Drosophila melanogaster: one gene and its partner. The protein of the gene in region 2 interacts with the protein of the main gene of each other region in a pairwise test. Each region holds a gene or a part of one and is shown on either strand. Other genes may lie near its edges.

Region 1 (3,751 bases), on a different chromosome or scaffold from region 2:
TCCTTCGAGCTTTTCAAGTTCGTCAATAAAATGGTAACATAATAAGGCCCATCTAGTCGGTAACAAACGGTTCGAAACGCTTGAGCACCGCGTTCATGGATGGGCGATCCTGCGGATCCAGGGCAGTACAGTGCAAGCCCGCCTCGATGGCGCACATGCACATGTCCAGCTCCTTGCCCATCGGTGCTGCTAAGTGCTTCTCTAGCAGCTCCATCCGGTTTTGCCGCCACTGCTGCTTAACGTAGTCCAGCAAATTCTTCTTCGTCTCGTTTTCCGGCACGCGATCCGTCACCTGACGACCCGTGAACACCTCCAACAGCACAATGCCGAAGCTGTAGACGTCCACGCCCGTGCTGAGTTGTCTGAAGTTGCGGAACTCCGGTGGCAGGTAGATCTTAGTGCCGAAAACTTTATTCACTTCCACCACAGCGTCCAAGGACTTGGGACCCTCGCGCACCAGACCGAAGTCTCCGATTTTTGGCTGCAGACATTGGTCCAGCAGGATGTTGGCCGGCTTAATATCTCCATGAATCAGCGGTGTGCCTCGCGCCGTGTGCAGAAAGTAGATGCCTCTTTTGGAAACGAAATGAAAAGTTAAAGAAGATTGATAGCACTAAAGAAACGATAAATCCCACCTAGCCGTGCCGAGGCTGATGCTAAACCGCTGCTGCCAGGTGAGTGCTGGTAGTGGGTTTTGTGCCTTATGCGCTCGTAAACGAGCCTCCAGGGAGCCGCCCTTCATCAGCTGGTAGACGAGGCACGGCTTACCACCTTTGATGCTGTATCCGTAGAGGGCCAGGATATTGTCGTGCCGGATGCTGTTTAAATACTTGAGTTCGTTGTAGCTCTGCTGCAGCTCCACCATTTTCTGGTCGATGTTGGGACTGCGGTAGTTCATCACCTTGATGGCCACGTCCAGTTGCTTCCATTTGCCGCGGTACACGTCTCCGAATCCGCCCTGTCCCAGTCGATTATCCGGACTCCAGCCGTCCGTGGCGTTTTCTAGCTCCGCATAATCGATCTCCAGCAAGGATTCGGCTGCCCGCTGTACGGTGCTAATGTGTATATTGCCCAGGGACTCCAGGCTGGGTATCTCCTCCGTTGCCGTTGTGCTGGTGCGATTGTTGTTTGAGTTGCTGACGCCCGAGGAGGAGGGAAACGGCGGGCCGTTGTTTACTTTGGCACTGGAATCGGGAGCAGCGCGCAGCTCGCTGATGGTGGGCACGCTCCTCGGTATGTACTTGTGCAGATCCTCGCTAACGTAATCTTTGATCAGACGCATGGCGTTATGAAGCTTCAATCTAAAGTAAGAGGAGTCATTTCTGGGATCTCGGCGGTTATTATCTCAAACTGACTCACTTTTTGAACAAAGCAAACAATGTTTGCACCGTGTGATTGTACTGACCGCCCCAAATGTTGAGGAACTCATTGGAGGCTGAGCGGCCACGCTGCTTCTGGCTGCTTATCTGCTCCACCTGGTCGGGATAGAGTTTTACGGCCGTGGCCAGCTGTTGCCATACGTCTAGGGCATCCAAGTGGGCACATAGCTGGGCTCGCACGGGCAACGGCAGCAGTCGGATGGCCATTGTGTTGTCCAAGTGGGAACGCGACCTGGTCCTGTTGCCATTCGCTTGGTTTTGGGCCTGCGCCTCGGCTTCGGCGGTCTGGACGCCACTCATCTTTCACTTATGGGCGGGCGGTTCAACCGGTTGCGACTGATTCATGCGGCTCCGGATGCAAGAGTGCCCGTTGGATGAGGGGTTGGCGGCGCTGGTAACCTGTTGCAGCGAAACGAAAATCGCTTTTGGGTAAATTCCCAACGCGATTCGATGAAAACCTGTGGATGACTTGTTAACAGCGGCGCAACAAGTGATAAAGCAGCTTAACAGAGCGAAGCAGTCTGGCAACGCTGCCAATGTCTAGCAAATAATACACTCGAAAAAGTGGTAGATGCTTAGGAGCCACTGTTTAAAATTCAGAAGTAAAAAGAAAGCAGAGTAATTATTAAAAAGGTATTTGCTGTATGAAAATATTAAATAGATTTTAAATAACCTCCACATATTTTATGTAATTTGCACAGTATTTTGTATACTAAAATATCTTAAAAAATACCAAAGGCAATTAGTGTATGACCAAATGAGCCTTGCAGTTTGGCGGACATGCGTCGTTTTCAAGTGCCCCGCAGGTGGCCACACTGCTGACACCGTCACGAACGCATCGCTATCGCTAATTCTTCGCTTCGCCCATTTATAATTCAGCAAATACGTCAATTAGCCCCACCAGCGAACGGAAAAGCCTCAAGCTGGCGGAGAAAAAGGTCCAAATGGCGCTATGCCAGACATCGGTGGTGAGTGTGCGGCTGGATCCCCGAGATCCGGTAATTGTGTCAGCGGCGGTGGCTCCATTGCATTCGACATATGGAAGGCATCCTACCAAGGAGTTTCTCCATTTCCTCCAGCTTCACCTCCTTCCGCCGCCCACGCGGGAAAGTGAAAGCTTTCCCAGTGGTCATGGTAGTTACTACAAAACGATAGTTACAACTGCTGAAATCCGAGATACCAAAACTGCAAACCTCTCGGGTGTGGATGTGTGTGCATGCGAGTGCGTGTCTGTCTGGATGTCGCTGTGTTAGTGCGTTCGTTGCCTTGCAGTTTTGTATGTTTCTTGCCCTCTGGATTTTCCGATTTTCGGCTTTTCCGCGTAGTACTTCAAACTCCCATGGGGGGTTATATTTAGCAGTAATACACGCTGCGTAGCTTGTGCTATTATCTACAAGTCGGGGCCTCCTTCCTTATCGTCCGCTGATAACGCAAAACAAACTATTAATAAAACAAGCAACTGGCATACCGGTGTATATATATGTACAATGTACATATATATATATACCAGCATATGCATGGTATCTATGTACATATGTGCACTGCGACATTCTTCGCAAACAAATAATTTACATACTTTATTTGCGTTTTGCATATTCACATTACAGCTGCGTCTGAATTTTAATGGGAGCTCAAAAAGGCTCACCACATACTGTGCGCCACATTTTCAACTTCTATAGCGTCTTGCCCTTTACTTGCTTCGTGGATTTTTTGCGCAATCCCTATTGTTTTACCCCCAACTGTTTAGGCCCTAATAGCGTGAAGTTGAGCCGCGATAATATAATGAGTGTTTAAGTCAACACAAGCCCAGATTTGTCGTGCATTTCAAATTTAATTATACACAATTAACCGCATCCCCTCTCGCCCGCAGCTGAAGGTGTACCATGCCGTGATCGAGGACGTCATCACAAATGTGCGGGACGCGTTCCTGGACGAGGGCGTCGACGAACAGGTGCTGCAGGAGATGAAGCAGGTCTGGCGCAACAAGTTGCTTGCTAGCAAGGCCGTCGAGCTGAGCCCGGACTCCGGCGATGGCTCCCATCCGCCACCCATCGTGGCCAACAATCCAAAGGTAAGCGAAACGGAGCCCTTGGGTGGATATTCTCATCGCGAATCCTTGTGTCTGTCTAACTTAACGTAGAAGTCCATACAAATTGTGATATCTTCATCCCAAAAAAAATTTCCAACTAAGATATCTTGCTTTATCTTTCTTATGCTCCACCACTTGAACCACTACAATGCAACGCGCCTCACCAACAACATCGACTAATGCGCTGCTCTTTGCACATCATCAAAATCCATTCAAAAACCCATTCATTTCCATGCGCCCTTACATCCAACCGCACGTTTCGAATGCAGAGCCACAAGGTAAA
Region 2 (3,751 bases):
AAACACAAACAAACAATTAAATACTATTTATATTTGATCCTTAGTTTAATCACATCTTAAATGTGATACATTTTATCCAAGCATATCGTTATGACCTGCATATAGCGATCCCAAAGACATCTGGTTTCTTGGTCCCTGCAAAACATTTAGAGTTGATTATCAAAAAAGTTACTTGATTAATCTAGACAAAAGTACCCACCTTGATATTTCCAGATCCAAAACGCTTTGCGTTATGGAAGCCAAAAATTTATTCACTTGCTCACGGTTCCAGCCATTCTGACGCCAAGGATCAATAAGCTTCTCACAGAGATCGACGAAAAGATCGCGCAGCTCCCGATTGCGATGCAAATTGCAGGCGATGGTGATCAGGGCGCGCCAGTAAGAACTGCAAATCAAAACAGATCAATAGTAAGAAAAGGTGATAATGTCGAGAAATAAGTCCTTACCGAAAGTTGCCATCCAGTTCGTGAAAGGCGCGCTCGAGAAGAACGGGTTTGAGGCGCATGCAGACGAGGCTAAATGCAAGGACTAAACTATATAATAGCTCGTGTGCGGTAGAAAAATAAATCTCACTGCTTAATCTCCTTTTCCTTGTCGAGTAGACAGCGCAACTCCCGCAGGTCCAAGAGAAACTCTTTGTCCATTTCGGTATCATAGTACTCCGGTCCAGTGTGCTGCATTTAGTAAATTAGTTTCGTAAGGAATTAGCAGAGCTAAGTCATACCTGGTAAGTATACGTCCAGTAGATCATGATGGCATGGGAGCAGGTCAACAAATCACTGAAGCTCAGGTATTGCAACTTTTTTTTGGTGGTTTCGAAACGCAGGCAGGCCAGGAAAACAATGCAGGCGTACTTTCTGTAAGAGTGAAAGGTTTAGCTTTTTGAAGTTCAATACATTGATTATATTCATACTTGGCTAGATCGGTGGATATGATGAAGTGTTGCTTGATGTTGTTGGTTAACGTGCCCGGCATTTCCTCGACTGCCTTAAAAATGCGTTTTACGTTGTCAAATTGTCGGCTGAAGAAGAAGTTGAAATATATTAGACTCTACTCTGCCTAAGTAGCGGCCAAATTTACCCACCGAACTGATTTTAGCTTGACGCACGTCTTCTCGGCCACCTCGTCGAGGTCCTTGCGGTAGCGGGACGACAGCTTCTTGCCAAGAATTTCGCGAGCCACCACATCATCGATGGAATAGTACTTCTCGGTGATAAGGTCACGCATTTGTGGCTCCAGCTGGAAGCAGGATTGCTCCATCAGTTTGGTGGGTGCGTTTAGGTATAGTTCAATCAGGGAATAGGTGCGGTAATGATCCAGTACATCCGATGCAATCAGGTCGCTGGGAGCGCCCATGGAGTGACCAAAACCCTTCTGTTTCAGATAGGACACCGCCTCGCTGGCTATAATTGTAAATCGATGGAGCCGTTTGACATGAAACAAGATTGCAATTGGGAGAAGAAAACTTACAGGAGAAGCCTTCGATCCATAGCTGGTAAATTTCTGGATCGATGATTGTATAATTACTTATAAACACATCCACATCGGCCTGTAAGCATTCAGTTTTACTATTTATTATTATTTTGGATCATCAGATAGTTACCATTATATTGCTAGAGTGACCGTTTTCTGAACTAGCTGTCCAATTGGATATATCGAAATGTATGTTAGAGATGAAACACTGTGTAGTTCCAACACAAGCAGCATAGTTTATTCTTCTCATGAATTTAAAACTTTTCCTTGAAAGTAATAAATCGTTCTTGTTTTCATAACATCAATATATCCTATTAATAAACAAGCGAAAATGTTTAGAGTAATAATGGTAAAACCAAATTCGGTGTGATTTTGAGTTTTAAGATCAAGTCATAAGGAAATCTTTAAAATTGTAATTCTCAGAAATCTTAATTTAATATGCAAGATATATAGCTGTAAACTTTCCGATATTTAAAAACCAGAGATGGGGCACAGATAGCGAGCACGAATCACGACTATCGATAGTGCCGATAGCGGGCGATAGCTGCAACGCGCATGACAACTCTAGTTATCATGAGGAAGAAGAGGAGGATATCAACTTTTTTAGTAAATTAGTAAAGTTTAAGCTTAAAAAATGTAAATTGCAATGAACCACCAGCTGTAAATAGGGCAATGCAACTTGAACGCGACCTGCGCGCAATTCGCATGTAAGTCGTGGTGAGCGCTGAAAAAAACGCGGATCGCGGCGGCAGCAACAACAACAACAACAACAGACCGTCCGTCGTCTCGGTAGACGTCGAATAATATACATATATCGCAATAATCCAATTGCAAGTGGTAATCCGATGAACAATTCAAGTGCATTACTATCGTTGGACCGCAGAATAAGTGAAAGTGAACTGGCATAACAATACTATGGAACAGGTTGACTCCTCCACCGAGCTGCACCTGAATAGGAAAGATCTGGCCGCGCTGGCCGAGGATGTTGTGAAAGAAGAGGTGATATTAGAAAGCTCCAGCCATCACCATCATCATCATCACCACCAGGTAAGAAAAAGGAGCAACAAACGGCTGCGTAAGGAGCCCATTTGGTTTTGGATTTTCCATTCGCTTCTCCTTTGGCGGGGTGGTTTTGGTTCCGGACTGTGTGTTTGGTTCAGGTTCTATCTATTGAATCCGAAACCGAATCTGGCTCGAAAACCGCTCCGCTTCGCTCTGCGCAGTTGTGGAAAGTGGGTGGTGGGTGGTTGGGCTAGGTGGCCTGGGGGTGGCGCAACTTGCGCCCTACGGAACGCTCCGTGCGACCCACTGGGCCACAGGCATTCCCCGCTCGCCTTCTCGCCTCCATCCACTCCCAATTTGCCTCCTCCTCCTCGTTTTCCCCCTCCACCCACCGCATTTGTGGCGCACAAATGTTGTGTATACCGATTTTCATTTTTCCCATGCTGTGTTGTTTACTTACATTCGAATTTTCATTCCCGATTCCTGTGCAAATCGCATTGAATTAAATCGCAAACGCCATCAATTGGCCGCTGGACACTCACCCACATACATGTGACGAACGTGGGAATATGTGCGCTATGGTAATGCAGTTGGACACCAAGGTTCGCATGGTCACATCCTCCTCCAACGACAACAGTGGTAGCGGCGGCGCCAGTGGCGGTACAAGCGGAGCGGGCGGAGGAAACGGCGGTGGCGGTGTGGTTTCGGTGCCCGTATCCCTGCCCATCGGTTCGATGATAACCGGCACTACCTTCAATGTGATCACGCCCGACCAGCTGCCCCCTCACTTCAAGCCGATGCTGTGCGTCGACAACAATGGCTACCTGTCCGGCAGCACGGTCAGCATGGGCAACGACCTCAAGACGATCGTCATCCAGCAACAGCAGACGCAACCAGGCGGCGGCGGTGGCGGCGCCAATAATGCGGGCACCAATACGACCGCCACAAATACGATTGGACTGAATCACGATGGCTCCGGGAGCAACAATAGCCACGACAGCCTGGCCACCTTGGAGCACGCCGCGGGCGGAGCGAGTGGCGTCGGCGGTGGCGGCGGCGGAACGGGTGGTGGCTCCTCGGGATGGTCGGAGAACCCGTCAACCCAGCACAATGAGGTCTTCCAGATCCGCTGCAAAACCACCTGCGCCGAGTTATACCGCAGCAAGCTGGGCTCCGGCGGCCGTGGACGCTGTGTGAAGTACAAGGACAAGTGGCATACGCCCAGTGAGTTTGAGCATGTGTGTGGCCGGGGCTCCAGCAAGGATTGGAAGCGTTC

Evidence for each region. Proteins that work in one complex are often made in the same cells at the same time.
Region 1: the proteins of Deaf1 (region 2) and TfIIA-L interact in a two-hybrid assay, tested with the Drosophila melanogaster proteins (2 studies listed by BioGRID).

What each region holds. Positions count from the first base shown.
Region 1 is NT_033777.3:27,251,279-27,255,029, forward strand, and holds the start of TfIIA-L (transcription factor IIA L), read left to right. Parts: upstream 1-2,151; 5' UTR 2,152-2,323; coding exon 2,324-2,347; intron 2,348-3,249; coding exon 3,250-3,450; intron 3,451-3,737; coding exon 3,738-3,746; intron 3,747-3,751. Other genes in the region: pll (pelle), read right to left, coding at 53-572, 636-1,301, 1,360-1,679. UniProt on the Drosophila melanogaster protein: TFIIA is a component of the transcription machinery of RNA polymerase II and plays an important role in transcriptional activation. TFIIA in a complex with TBP mediates transcriptional activity.
Region 2 is NT_037436.4:19,816,147-19,819,897, forward strand, and holds the start of Deaf1 (deformed epidermal autoregulatory factor-1), read left to right. Parts: upstream 1-2,027; 5' UTR 2,028-2,388; coding exon 2,389-2,520; intron 2,521-2,955; exon of another isoform or gene 2,956-3,044; coding exon of another isoform or gene 3,045-3,065; coding exon 3,066-3,751. Other genes in the region: fibp, read right to left, coding at 57-135, 200-385, 447-515, 574-674, 725-857, 914-1,021, 1,085-1,403, 1,471-1,549 and 1 more. UniProt on the Drosophila melanogaster protein: Transcription factor that binds the homeotic Deformed (Dfd) response element. High affinity binding sites contain at least 1 TTCG motif surrounded by additional TCG sequences.